Anolis sagrei: one gene and its partner. Each later gene encodes a partner of the first gene's protein in a complex. Links are inferred from orthologs where the notes say so. Each region holds a gene or a part of one and is shown in the gene's direction. Other genes may lie near its edges.

Region 1 (7,079 bases):
CAGGAGTGGATTTCCCTTCCGAGGGGGGGGGGGTGGATTCCCCTCATTCCCAGTTGCTTCAGCCCTGTTCTTAACTGTGAGTCGTTTGTCAGTCGGATGTTTGCAACTTGGGAACGGCCCACACGGGCCTCCACTCACCTCGTCCTCAGGGTAGTGGCAGTCCAGCACCAGGGTCTGCTTGGTGTCATCTTTGGTGACTTCCACAACAAAGTTCGGGGTCGACGTGAGATCCGGCTGCAGGAAAAAAACAGACCTCTGTTTAGCCATCTTGATCACTGCCTTCCCTTTGGGAGAACTGGTGGAGTCTTCGTGAACAGAGTACGCATGGCCCTCTGTCGGGAGGGTTTGGGTTGCATCTTCCCACCTGGCTGAAAGGGGTTGGACTAGATGCCCTTTGGGGGCCTCTCCCAACTCTAGGATTCCACTGCCATTCTGTAAGCTGCTGGCAATACTGGAAAGGTTTGGGGGGAATTCACCTTGATTCACAGTCCTTGTAGGTACTGGGATTTATAGTTCACCCGCAATCAAAGGGAACTCTGGACCCCACAATGATGGACCTGGGCCTAACTTGGCGCACAAAACCCCCATGACCAACAAAAGAATGTAGGAGGGACTTGGGGGGATTCATCTTGATTTTTAGGATTTATAGTTCACCTACATCCAGAGAGCAATGTCAACACAGTAATGGATCTGCACCAAATTCAGCACGCATACCCCATATGCCAAAATTTGAATACTGGTGAGTTGGGGGGGGGGGGGGAGGGATTGGCCTTGACATCGGTTAGTTGTACGTACTGGGATTTATAGTTCAATTGTGATCAAAGTGCACTCCGCACCCCACCATTGATGGAACTGCGTCTAACTTGGCACACATAACCTCCATGACCAAGGAAGGATTTGACAGGACTGACCACAGTGGGAGTTGTAGTTCACCCTGCAGCCAGAGAGCACACTGAACCCCACTGAGGATGCATCTAAAGCAAATTTGCCTAACATGACAAACTAAATATTGATGGGTTTTCAGGGAGTTCCCCTGGCATGATGGGAGTTGTAGTTCATCTAGAATCTTAGGCATTTGGGACAATTAAAAAGTGGCTTCTTCTAATAGCCCGGGCAATGCCAGGGACCCAAGCTAGTCTATAATAAAAGGACCCCCACTTACTTCTTGCTCGTCCGGCTTCTGTCCTTCTGGAGCCTCGTCAAAACTCGGCGGGATGCTGTTGTTGATGTTGAAGGACACCGTGACCCTGTGGACGGAACCAGGAGGAGGAGCCCAAGGTGAGCAAACTCCAGAGAGATATAACAAGAGGGGTGGGAGACCCCCACCTGACCCCACCCAGGAGGAGGAGGAGGCGCCCCTTACGTCTCGCCGGCCACTTTCCGCGCCAGCTTGGCCTCGGTGCCTTGGACGTCCAGCTCCCAGCCGCCGGACATTTTGGGCAATGACTTGTGCTTCTGGATCTTCTTCTCCTCCTTGATTTCGTCCACCAGGAACTCCGCAAAAGCTTTGTCGCCTGCCAAGAACACACAGGTGAGAGCTATCCACCTAATCCAGTGTTTCTCAACCCTCCTGATGCCACGACCCCTTAATACAGTTCCTCATGTTATGTTGACCCCCAACCATAACATTGTTTTTGTTGCTACTTCAGAACTGTCATTTTGCTTCTGTTATGAATCGTTGTGTAAGTATCAGATAGGTAGGATGTGGCACAAATACCCAATACACCCAAATTTGAATACTGGTGGGGTTGGGGGGGGGGGTTGATTTTGTCATTTGGGAGTTGTAGTTGCTGGGATTTATAGTTCAGCTACAATCAGAGCATTCTGAATTCCACCAACAATGGAACTGAACCAAATTTGGCACACAGAACTCCCATGACCAACAGAAAATACTAGAAAGGTTTGGTGGGCATTGGCCTTGAATGTTAGAGTTGTAGTTCACCTGCATCCAGACAGAACTACGGACTCAACCAATGATGAATCTGAACCATACTTGGCACGGATACTCAATATGCTCAGATGTGAACACTGGTGGAATTGGGGGAAAATAGACCTCGACATTTGGGAGTTGTAGTTGCTGGGATTTGTAGTTCACCTACAATCAGAGAGCATTCTGAACCTCACCAACGATAGAATTGGGCCAGACTTCCCAAACAGAATCCCCAAGACCAACAGAAAATACTGTATTTTCTGATGGTCTTTGGTGACCTCTCTGACACCCCCTCATGACCCCCACAGGGGTCCCAACCCCCAGGTTGAGAAACACTGACCTAATCTATGGACCTATCTATGTATTTATTATTTATTTGCGACATGGATATGCCGCCCGCCCTTCTCCCCTTACTCAGGGGACTCAAAGCGGCTTACAAAATATATACATACAATATAATATATTATTAGTATAGTACAATATCAGTATTATATATTACTATCAATATATCTAATCTATCTGTAGCTATTATCTATGCAACTATGCATCTAATCTATGCATCTGCCTATCTGATCTATCTGTATTTATCCCTCTATGCAACTATGTATGCATGTCTGTATCTGATCTATGCATCTGTTTATCTAATCTAGCTGTCTCTTTGTAGCTATGCAACTATGTAAGTATATCTGTATCTATCCTATGTATGTGTTTATCTGTCTAAGCCAGGGATCCTCAAACTAAGACTTGAGGGCCGGATGCGGCCCTCCAAGGTCATTTCCCCAGCCCTCGCTCAGGGTCAACCTAAGTCTGAAATGACTTGAAAGCATGACAACAACAACCAGCCCACACCAAAGCTCCCATAATTACATTATTATACGATTATTATATATATATATATATATATATATATATATAATTCTAACATTATTATAATATATAATATAATATTATAAAATTATATATAATATATTATTATTATTATTATTCTCTTCCTAGGCACAGAGATCCTATTCCCAGAGAGAACGCATTCAAAACCCTATTTTCAGAGAATATTTTTATTTTGTTATTATTATTATTATTATTACTTGTGGTGTCAGGAGCGACTTAAGAAACTGCAAGTCGCTTCTGGCGTGAGAGAATGGGCCGTCTGCAAGGAGGTTGTCCAGGGGACGATGCCAGGCGCGTGGCCAGGAGGTGAATGGAGGAGGAGGAGGAGGCTCACCTTCAGTGTGGAGGCCCGCGCATGCGCAGGGGGCGGAGGGCAGGCTCCTGAGGCCTCCCCCTCCCCCGCGAGGCCTGCGCTCCTGGAGCTGCCACAGCGAGCGGGTGAAGGGCCGGGCGGCGGGGAGCAGCCGCGGAGCCAGGCTGGAGGCGCCCGTCCGCGCCTGGAAAGGCCGAAGCGCCGCGGAAGCCGAAGAGCGGAGGACCCGAGCGAGCAGCATGGCCGTCTGAGGGGAAAGGAACGCGCACCGGAAGTGGAAGCAGCAGCAGCAGAAAGCCGGAAAGGGCGGGGAAAAGCACATCCCCGCTAGTGCGCACGCGCATCAAAGGTTCCCGCCCCTTTCTCATTCCCGGCGTGTTGCCTTCCCGCCCTCACTGCGCACGCGCCGAAGAGATAGAAGAGAACTCCCCGCTAGTGCGCATGCGCAAAAAATGTGCCCGCCCCTTTCTCTTTGCGGCGCGTTGCCTTGCCGCCCTCACTGCGCACGCGCTGGAGAGATAAAAGGGAGCTCCCTCGCTACTGCGCATGCGCATCAAAGGAGCCCGCCCCTTTCCCTTTGAAGCGTGTTGCCTTCCCGCCCTCACTGCGCACGCGCCGGAAAGAGACAAGCGAGCTCCCCCGCTAGTGCGCATGCGCATCAAAGGTGCCTTCACACTCTCACTACGCACGCGCCGGAGAAAGAGAAAAAAGAGAGCTCCCTCGCTAGTGCGCACGCGCATCAAAGGTTCCCGTCCCTTTCCCTTTCCGGCGCGTTGCCTTCCCGCCCTCACTGCGCATGCGTTTGAGAGAAAAAAGGGGCGGATACCTTCTCCCTTCCCCGCCCCCTCACTCTCAGCGCTCGTCGATTGGCCGGCTGCGAAATCCTTTCCACGCCTCATCCGTTTCCGGAGAGTGGCGCCTGCGCAGTGTGAGATTCTCACGCAGAGGCGGCGAAGGCGGCCGCCATTACGAGTCCTTCGCCTGAGAGGAAAAGAGAGAAGAAGGAAGGAAGGAGGGGAGGAGAGAAGGGAAGATACCAGGCCGGAAGGTCAGTAGTCATCCCGAATTTTATTCCCCGCTATAATTGGGCTTATTTGCATATGCATAATGAGATACTTTAGAAAAGAAGGAGCGAGAATGGGTTTCTGGTTTACGCCAAGGAGGCGCCCGAAGCAGGACTAGGCCCACGCTTGGCGCATTTGCATACTGTTTGCTGATTGGCTACTCTTCCTCCTGCCCGCGTCTGATTGGCCAAGGCCTTGCTCCTTGGCCTAGGCTGGAAATTGAAGTCTTCTGCACACACTTCACTAATTACTCCTGTGCTTATTATTAATTAATTAATTACAATAAATTAACACAGGAGTAATTAGTAAAGACACACAGAGTGTGTGCAGAAGACTTCAATTTCCAGTCTAGGCCAAGGACTCATGTCTTATTAATAATATTAATTAATATTAATAATAATTAATGATAAGAATTTTATTTAACTGCCCCTCCCCATTATTTATTTATATTTGTATCCCACTTTATCTCCATATTGATACTCAAAGCAGCTCACAATAAAAATATTACAACTTCAGATATTCAATAATAAAACGGTAATATATATATAGTTGTGTGTGTATTATATATTAACAATAATATTATGTTTAATATATTATCATTATGGTGCATTATTGTGTATTGTTATATTGTATAATTATATAAATAAAAATGTAATGTTCGTTTGTGGGATTAACATAACTCAAAAACCACTGGACAAATTGACACCAAATTTGGACACAAGACACCTAACAGCCCAATGTATGTCCTTCACTAAAAAAAAAGATTTTGTCATTTGGGAGTTGTTGTTGCTGGGATTTATAGTTCACCTCCAATCAAAGAGCATTCTGAACCCCACCAACGATGGAATTGAACCAAACTTGGCACATAGTTCTCTCATGACCAACAGAAAATACTGGAAGGGTTTGGTGGGCATTGGCCTTTGGTTTTAGAGTTGTAGTTCACCTACATCCAGAGATCACTGTGGACTCAAACAAGGATGGATCTGGACCAAACTTGCCATGAATACTCAGTATGCCCAAATGTGAACATTGGTGGAGTTTGGGGAAAATAGAAACTTGACATTTGGGAGTTGTAGTTGCTGGGATTTGTAGAGAGCATTCTGAACCCCACCAACGAATTGGGCCATAGAACCCCCATGACCACCAGAGTGGGCCACAGCAACTCGTGGCAGGGAACGGCTAGTTATATAAATAAAAATGTAATGATTTATTGTGGGATTGGCATAACTCAAAAACCACTGGACAAATTGACACCAAATTTGGACACAAGACCCCTCTCAGGCCAACGAGTGACCATCACTGGAAAACACTGACAAACACTGGAAAACACAACAGAAGAGACTTAAAAAGCCGAAAAACAAAAAAAAAATACATTACAAAGCATGTGCAAAACCACATATACACACAAATACACATATACACACAAATATATACGCACACACATACACACAAACACAAAACATATATACACAGGCTAGACCACAGCAATGTGTGGCAAGGGAGGGCTAGTATATTATAGATAGGCAGGTGCATATTATATAATACATGTTATATGACATTATAGTGGTATAGTACAATATAATAATATACCATAGTAATGTATTATACTAATAGTATATATTAATAACATGTTTGTTTCCCTTCCCTTAGGCCTGACCTGCGGCCATGGCAACTGGCGTGTTCCCTCCCTTCCGGGGGCCCTGCCCTCCGATGCCGGCCCCTATGGCTCCGCTGCCAGACTACATGTCCGAGGAGAAGCTCCAGGAGAAAGGTACGATATGTTCACGCTCTTATATCGCCTTGTTAGTTGACATAGCCAGGCTGATCTGTCAAATTATTCCGTCATAGGTCTATGTTATTTAATCAGATTTAAGAGTTTTTACTGCTTATTATAATACCATTGACATTTAATTATATTTTAATATTGGCATATTTTTAGGTGGATTTCAATTGTATGCATTGGTTTTACAATAAGCTGCTTTGAGTATTTTTTTAGAGAAATATAGCAAGATCTAAGTAATAATAATAGTTTATTTATATACCATTAATATTGAATTCTATTTTAATGTTTGTGTATTTTAGGCCTTAAATTGTATTGGCCTAAATGTAAGATACTCCCTGACCAAACTTTGCATAAAATGACCTCAGAAGCACTTTATTTTATGGTTCGTGCAATTAAATCCTTCCCTGTCCCCGGATCCTCCTTCTAATAATTTATATTGTCCTATCTCCCAGCGTTTAACAAATTTATCATTGAGTTCGGCCTTGCCCAGCCTAATCCTCTGTGTTTTAATGTTTGATTTGCTTTTGTTCTTCATTTATTATATTGCTTTTGCATTTGATGTATTTTATTTCTGGTTTTGTTATGCTTTTGTGTTATATTATGATACTGTATTTTTGGACAAGGCCTCATGTAAGCCGCACTGAGTCCCCCTGGGAGAGATGGAGCGGGGTATAAAGTATTATTATTATTATTATTATTATTATTGGCTTCACTCTATTTATTTGTTTTATTTATTTATTTACTGTGCTTATATACCGCAATTCTCAGCCCAAGGGCAACTCTAAGCCCCTCTGAGTCTCTTATTCATAGAGAAAAAAAGCAGAGTATAATAAAAATAATGAGTAAATCCCTAATATACGACAGGCCTTAATTATAGGATCCTGGCAGTATCATTCCCTTTGGGCGGGGGGTGCTTTGGCTCTTTTGGGGAAAGCTCTGCCTCTATTGTGAGTGTGTTCTGGCTTTCGCAGCCCGCAAATGGCAGCAGCTGCAGGCCAAGCGCTACGCTGAGAAGCGGAAGTTTGGCTTTGTGGATGCGCAGAAGGAGGACATGCCTCCGGAGCATGTGAGGAAAATCATCCGTGACCATGGAGATATGAC
Region 2 (8,011 bases), about 30 Mb from region 1:
AAACAATGAGCAAGTTAATGCCATTGGTTCTGAGGTTTTTAGGCCGCTTGGTTTCTCCGCTTTGACTTCCTCGTTCTTTCTAAACCGTATCTGTTTTTGTCTTCTGCCCAAATTAATAAATGGCCGCAGACAATCCGACAATAATGGCACTTGATGCGAATTGTCCATCGCCACTTAATTGTGAATGTGTAAAATGTATGCAAATCATTTTTTTAAACGTATCAAGCATCTTTTAAATAAATGGATGGAACAAACGCTGGCTTCAGTGTGACTCGAAAGTTGACAATTAGTTCTAAAACGATCCAAATTGCCCTTAGTCTAGAACTACCTCAGATAAGAATGGGATGAATGACCTGAAGCTGTGAGCTGTCTCTCACATTATTTGGACCGTGCAGGCAAAGATTGCTACTCAATATGCAACTCAACCTGCTGTTTCAGGACACGAGGATGCTTTCGATAAGTGCAGTGTTTTGCAACCTGGGGGTTGGGACCCCTTGGGGGGACGTGAGGGGGTGTCACATAGTTTTCTGTTGGTTGTGGGGCTTCTGTGTGGGAAGTTTGACCCAATTCTATCACTGGTGGCATTCAGAATCTCTTTAATTGTGGGTGAACTATAAATCCCAGCAACAACAACTCCCAAATGTGAAGGTCTATTTCCTCCAAACTACCAGTGTTCACATTTGGGCATATTGAGGATTTGTGCTAAGTTTGGCCCAGATCCAAGCCACACCTTGAAACTGCTGGGCCATTAAATGCTAATCAAGGTGGCTAATTGAAACACACCCACCTCCAACAGACATGAGTTCTTTGTCCCACCCTGGACATTCCAGAGATATATAAACCCCATTTTCCTAATTTCCAACAGACCTCACAACCTCTGAGGATGCTTGCCATAGATGTGGGTGAAACGTCAGGAGAGAATGCTTCTGGAACATGGCCATACAGCCCATAAAACTCACTGCAACCCAATATTAGCTTTAAGAAAACACAGTCCCTCCTCTATAGCCCTAACCGTGAGAAAAATAAACATTGGATGTGGAAACCTTGAGGAAACACTACAAAGGTAGAAGTTCTGGGCTATGACTTGGTTCATATCCTTCAGGGTTACCTGAAGAGAGAAATCAAAACCATTTAAATCAAATCTGCAAATATGGAGGACAGACCGAATTCCTCCCAGAGTGTTCCCCAGCTCTTACACAGGACTTTTTTCACAGTCCTTTGGTGAAAGGGAAGTAAACATTGCCTTTTCTTTCTTGCCAAGCATACAAGTAGCAGCGGGATTGTCTCAGCAACAGATTTCCTTGCTGCTGAATTGTTCGCAAAGGTGCTATGGCGCATCTCTTATGGGATGCACTATTATTCCAAACTGGTACTGCATATTGCCGCTGGCCCCCAAACACATGTCAAGGGTATGCAAAGAAGTTTGCGAGGTTCAATTGTTGCCATTTAGGGCATTTCAGTTTTGCAAAGGGAGGCATACAGAAACATAACTCCCCTCTATCGTCCAGTTATATCGAGCCGCATTCATATTAGCTGATACAATTTGTGTTGCCAGTGCTTTCCCCCACTGTATTCAAGAAAGAAAAAGGTGCCTTTTCTATGTTTCTAGCATTGTGCCTCGCTGGATGTACATATCTATTAAATCCATAGTGGAAATTGCCCACCTGATACTATTATGTAAGTACGGATTATCAGTCTGTATGTAATTAATAAAGCAGAATGTATCTTACAGGTATGTTGTGTGTTTGATTTGTAAAAGCTGCTCTCTGTTACACCACTAGGCAATCCCAGTATGCATCTCCACTGTTAAATTAATCGGAAAATATATGGAAGATAGATATATGACAAGTATGTGTCTGTGTGTATATGTACTGTATATATGTTGGTGAAACGTCAGGAGAGAATGCTTCTGGAACTAGTGATTCCGGCCACGAAAGCCTTCGACAACACAATGTACTGTATATACTCGAGTATAAGCCTAGTTTTTTAGCCCTTTTTTTAAGCTGAAAAAGTCCCCCTTGGCTTATACTCGAGTCAAGGTTATTTATTATTTTACTCTGTTATTATTATTATTTCATTTATTATTGTATTCTATTTATTATTATTACATTTATCATTTTACTCTATTATACATTTATTATTTTACTGCATAATTGTTGTTATTGCTACATTCATTATTTTACTCTTTTTATTATTGTTGTTGTTATCACATTTATTATGTTCCTCTATTATTATTGGAAGGATACATAAGCACATTTACATTGAAGAAGGTAAATAATCATTTAATCAGAGTTGGACAGTCTTATCTAAAATTACAATTTTTGTAAATATTTAAAAATATATAACTTACTGGTTCTTCAATTAATGTAATTTAATTGGTATCTATTTTTATTTTGCAATTTACTCGTAGTGGCTGCATTTCCCACCCTCGGCTTATACTCGAGTCAATCCGTTTTCTCAGGTTTTTTGCGGTAAAATTAGGTGCCTCGGCTTATATTCGGGTCGGCTTATACTTGAGTATATACGGTATATATGTTTATGTATATACACAAACATATATGTTTCTATTTAGGTGACTGACCAAAGTTATGTGGTACTTATTGGCCAACGGGCTTTCAAATCCTGACTTCAAACGTGACCGATTGGGTCTTATTATCTCACCTCTTCCTAAAATGCAAACTCTATAGGGATAAAAAAAGCAGACACATACATTTATTGAGGAAAGTTAAAAAATTCCATAAGTGGAACAAAGATCTCACAGGTTTTGGGAGAAGAGTCCAGTCTTCGGTTTATCTAAAGTCCATTCCCCTTGGCTGTTTTCTTTAAGTAATCCTCTTTTTTGCTCTAGTGTCATGGAAGTCAGCAGAGGAAAGACCCTAGAACTCAAAGTTGCCAAACTGAGAGGAGCGATTGTTGGGTTTGGGCTGGGGCTTGTAGCCGATCCGGTCGTGGATCATCTGTTCTCGGCTCTTGTGGTCGATGTTCAATCCCAGCGCGCCTTCGCCATCGCTGGCTCCCACCACATCCACTTCTTCCCGCTGCTTCTTGCAACTCTGAAAAGGCAAAACGGAAACACGACAAAAAATTAAACACGGAATTACACCGTCGCCAAGTTACAAACAAGTTAGGTTCTGTAGGTTTGTTCTTAAGCTGCATTTGACCTTTAAAGCCCAACATGGTTTGGCTCCAGGCTATTTATTTATTTATGATATATGTGTGTGTGTGTAAGAACACTTTGTTTATACCCTGCCACCATCTCCCCAAAGGGGACTCGGGGCAGCTAACATGAGGCCAAGCCTAAAAATAATACAACAAAGTTAGACACAAAATAACAGAAAAATTACATCACAACAAAATACATGAAGTAAAAAAATAAATGTCCTTCATTCGAAAAAATTGATTTTGTCATTTGGGAGTTGTAGTTGCTGGGATTTATAGTTCATCTACAATCAAAGAGCATTCTGAACTCCACCAATGATGGAATTGAACCAAAGGTGACACACAGGACTCCCATGACCAACAGAAAAGACTAGAAGGGTTTGGTGGGCATTGACCTTGAGTTTGGGAGTTGTAGTTCATCTACATCCAGAGAGCACTGTGGATTCAAACAATGATGGATCTGGACAAAACATGGCACAAATATTCCAATCAAAGAGCATTCTGAACTCCACAAATGACAGAATTGGGGCAAATTTCCCACGCTGAACCCCATCACCAACAGAAAATACTTAAGACCATCCAATCCAACTCTCTTCATCAGGGCAAGAAAATCTAATCAAACCCCTCCTGACAAAGAGCCATCCAGCCATAGATATACATAGATATATATCAGAGTTTCGCAACCTTCCTAATGCCATGGCCCCTTAACACAGTTCCTCATGTTGTGGTGACCCCCAATCATAAAATTATTTTTGTTGCTACTTCATAACTGTAATTTTGCTATTGTTGTGAATTATAATGTAAATATCTGATATACAGGACACAGTTTTATTCGCTGGACCAATTTGGCACGAATACCCAATACACACAAATTTGAATAGTGGTGGAGTTGAAGGGGGGTTGTAGTTCAGCTACATCCTGAGATCACTGTGGACTCAAACAATGATGGATCTGGATCAAACTTGGCACGAATCCTCAATATGCCAAAATGTGAACACTAGTGGAGTTTTGGGGAAACAGACATTGACATTTGGGAGTTGTAGTTGCTGGGATTTATAGTTCACCTACAATCAAAGAGCATTCTGAACCCCAACAACAATAGAATTGGGCCAGACTTCCCACACAGAATCCCCATGACCACCAGAAAATACCATGTTTTCTGATGAAAACCCCCAGGTTGAGAAACACTGATATATATGATTCACACACACACAGATATAATATTATAGATTTGAAAGGGACCCCTAAAGAAGGACAATGATATAGTGCATATTCCAGAGTAGGCAAACCAGACACTTTCCACATCAACACTGACAAAGAGACAACAAGAAATACTGTTTACCCACAAGCATAAAGACATTACACAGATTAGAAACCATTACTTTATTTTTCCAGATCACCAGACTGGGCCACAGCAACGTGTGGCAGGGGACAGTTAGTAGTGAATAAATATGATTCAACTATGGGCTCATATATTTTATAGGAGGAGCTGCTCTAGTTGAAGGAACTGAAGGAGAAGTGCCTCTGAGCATGCACAGAGTGCCCCCAAAGGGGAATTTCAAAGCAAATGGGGCAACAAACCCCTCTTAAGCTGGTTATACGCCCTTTCCTTCCAACTACCCACCTCCAGCTCCTTTCTGGCCCCCTCAAACTCCTCAATATCGTCCAGCTTGAGCTCCAAACGCGTTGGCTTCCGACGTAGCATCTTTAGGACCAAACGGGGACCCGTTGCTCGTCCACGCATGCGCAGTGATTACGACCAAGCCAGACATCCCGTGTGCGCATGCGTGTCGCCAGATGAGCCTCTCCGTGATCGAACGTGATTGGCTGAGCCTCTCCCTCCTTGAAGCCGCATCCGCCGGAAGTCGCCATTAGTAATGATGGCTGCCTCGAGAAGCTTATCGGTAAGGGAAACAACTCATGACATTATATTATTTTCGGGGAAAAACACATTTAAGACCGATATAAACAATTAAAACATGTAAATAAGACAACATACGGCCCACCACCCAAGTGAAGGCTTTCAGCCAGGGACAATATCCTAGATTTCATGTGTTTCCTCCACCACAGGCATCCCAGTGTTCCTGACTCTCTCCATTGGTGTGGAATTTGCATGACAATATAGTAATACAATATAGTAATTGTATATTCTGTATTATATGTAATATTATGTAATCGCAGCATAGTAGTATAGCACAATATAGTCATTTGATACCAATATTGTGCTATGCTAATAATGTGATTGGCCAATTGTATTATTATTGGTATTATATTGTATTACATGATGATATTATGATACATATTATATGTACATAATACATTGTATGTACATATAATATTGATCATAATATGATCATGTAATACAATATAATGGCAATAATAATACAATATAATGGGTTGTTGTAGGTTTTTTCAGGCTATATGGCCATGTTCTGGAGGCATTCTCTCCTGACGTTTCGCCTGCATCTATGGCAAGCATCCTCAGAGGTTATGAGATCTGTTGGAACTAGGAAAGTGGGTTTATATATCTGTGGAATGACCAGGGTGGGACAAAGGACTCTTGTCTGTTGGAGCTAGGTGTGAATGTTTCAACTGACCACCTTGATTAGCATTTGATGGCCTGAGGCAACCTTTTGTTGAGAGGTGATTAGATGTCCTTGATTGTTTCCCCTCTGTTGTTGTGCTATTGTAATTTTTGAGTTTTTTAATACTGGTAGCCAGATTTTGTTCATTTTCATGTTTTGTTCAATTTCTGTTGAAATTGCCCACATGCTTCTTGTGGATTTCAGTGGCTTCTCTGTGTAGTCTGACATGATGGTTGTGAGAGTGGTCCAGCATTTCTGTGTTCTCGAATAATATGCTGTGTCCAGGTTGGTTCATCAGGTGCTCTGCTATGGCTGACTTCTCTGGTTGGAGTAGTCTGCAGTGCCTTTTATGTTCCTTGGTTCGTGATTTGTCATGAAAATGAACAAAATCTGGCTACCAGTATTAAAAAACTCTATAATTATATAATAATTTTATATAATAATTTGTTCCAGTTTGCTCCAATAAGCATTGTCAGTGAACCTCACCTTATTCTCCTATAGGTTTGAGTGGATATATTATAGGATTTGTAGTATGGCTGCTTTGGGTATATTGTAAGAGAGATAAAGAGGGATGTTATTATTATTAGCTCCGATTAGCATTGGCAGTGATCCTCACTTTATCCTCCTTGCAGTTGGGAAAGACAAAGGCCTCCGACGAAGGCAATGGTCCTCCAGCCAAGAAAGGCCCCATTTTTTATGGGAGCCTCGAGGAGAAGGAGCGCGAGCGTCTCCTCAAGGGAGAGTCTGGGATGCTGGGCAAAGATGCCGTCAAAGCAGCGATTGAGGCCGGCAACATCAACGTCACCAGCGGTAAGAACCACTCAGTCCAAGGCTTCCTATTTATTTATTTATTATGTCAGAAGCGATTGAGGATACAGTTTTAATGTGTTAAAAACTTGGCATTCTATTAAATGTCCTTTGACCAGTAGCTGGCTACTTGGAGTGCTGCTATGAGGAGGTCCTCCATTGTGCATGTGGCAGGGCTCAGGTTTCATTGTAGTCAGTGGTTTGTGGTTTGCTCTTTTCCGCACTCATGTGTCATGGCTTCCACTTTGTGGCCCAATTTCTTAAGGTTGGCTCTGCATCTCGTGGTGCCAGAGCGCAGTCTGTTCAGTGCCTTCCAAGTCGCCCAGTCTTCTATGTGCCCAGGGGGGAGTCTCTCATTCGGTATCACGAGGGGAGTTTCTTCCACATGTGGTGGACTTGTGAAGAAGTACAAAAATATTGGAAGCTCATACACGAGGAAACCCAAAAAAATTTAGAAATTAGATTTGTTAAAAAACCAGAATACTATCTTCTAGGTATCACTGACTCGGACTTAATTTTAGACAAGTATAAAGATGTTCTCTTTACTTATATGGCCACAGCAGAAAGAATAAGTGCTTGCGAGATTGTGGAAAACTGCTAAGATCCCCGACGTTGAAGACTGGATGGACAAATTAAGGGAAGTTAAAGATATGGAAACGTTAACTTTTTTTTTTAAGGTCAACTCAGGCCCCCCAATAAAAAGGACAGATTAGACACTTTTTGAAGAATATGAAAAAGCTAAGAGACAAGGAGGATAAATATAATAGTCATATTTTTTTTCTTTTGAATTAGATATAGATAGATTTATGTTGATATAACAAACTGATTCTCCACTCCCATGGCAGAAAGAGATAGTAAATGAACGTATAGAATAGTACTAAATTGTAATAACGTAAACAGGAAGATAGTTTTAACTATTTTGAAGCAGAACAATAGCAAAAGCACAGAATGGAAGTCAACATTTTTTCAATATATTTTTTCTCTCTTTTTCTGTTTTTGTATTTTCTCTTTTCCTACTTTTCTCTTATACCAATTGTTCTCCCACTTTACATGTTCTTATCTTTATATCTATATATCTATAAATTTCTCATGCTATATTATGTCACTCTAATTTTGATGTATACTTAATAAAAATTGATTAAAAGTTTCATTTGGTATCAGCCATAGCTTGAGGTTCTGGGTTTTCGCCTGCCACTTTTGGACTCTAGCTTGCTGAGGTGTTCCTGCAAGTATCTCTGTAGATCTTAGAAAGGCATTGGCGTGCTAGCTGATAAAATCCGGCTGTGAAAGGTGTCTAAGAGAAAGGGGTGCAATACAATTCAGGCTTCCCATATGTCCAGAGATAGGGAATTTGATTGCTGACCTGAGTTCTAGTCTGGATAGAATTTGTTCATCCCAGTTCTGTCATTTACCGAGTTGTTGCTTTTGTCACCCGCGAAAGGGCTGGAATACTTCTCTTG

What was found. The genes of interacting proteins can lie anywhere in the genome.
Region 2: PRPF8 (region 1) and PRPF4 share a complex: the UniProt entries of both Homo sapiens proteins name them as parts of the U4/U6-U5 tri-snRNP complex. The link is inferred for Anolis sagrei from reciprocal best matches to the Homo sapiens genes PRPF8 and PRPF4.

What each region holds. Positions count from the first base shown.
Region 1 is NC_090031.1:35,466,538-35,473,616, forward strand, and holds the start of PRPF8 (pre-mRNA-processing-splicing factor 8), read left to right. Parts: upstream 1-4,041; 5' UTR 4,042-4,179; intron 4,180-5,845; 5' UTR 5,846-5,860; coding exon 5,861-5,966; intron 5,967-6,949; coding exon 6,950-7,079. Other genes in the region: C1QBP (complement component 1 Q subcomponent-binding protein, mitochondrial), read right to left, coding at 139-234, 1,163-1,247, 1,364-1,514, 3,153-3,453. UniProt on the Homo sapiens protein: Plays a role in pre-mRNA splicing as core component of precatalytic, catalytic and postcatalytic spliceosomal complexes, both of the predominant U2-type spliceosome and the minor U12-type spliceosome.
Region 2 is NC_090031.1:5,875,468-5,883,478, reverse strand, and holds the start of PRPF4 (U4/U6 small nuclear ribonucleoprotein Prp4), read left to right. Parts: upstream 1-4,978; 5' UTR 4,979-5,036; coding exon 5,037-5,063; intron 5,064-6,376; coding exon 6,377-6,554; intron 6,555-8,011. Other genes in the region: anaphase-promoting complex subunit CDC26, read right to left, coding at 2,877-3,053, 4,784-4,903. UniProt on the Homo sapiens protein: Plays a role in pre-mRNA splicing as component of the U4/U6-U5 tri-snRNP complex that is involved in spliceosome assembly, and as component of the precatalytic spliceosome (spliceosome B complex).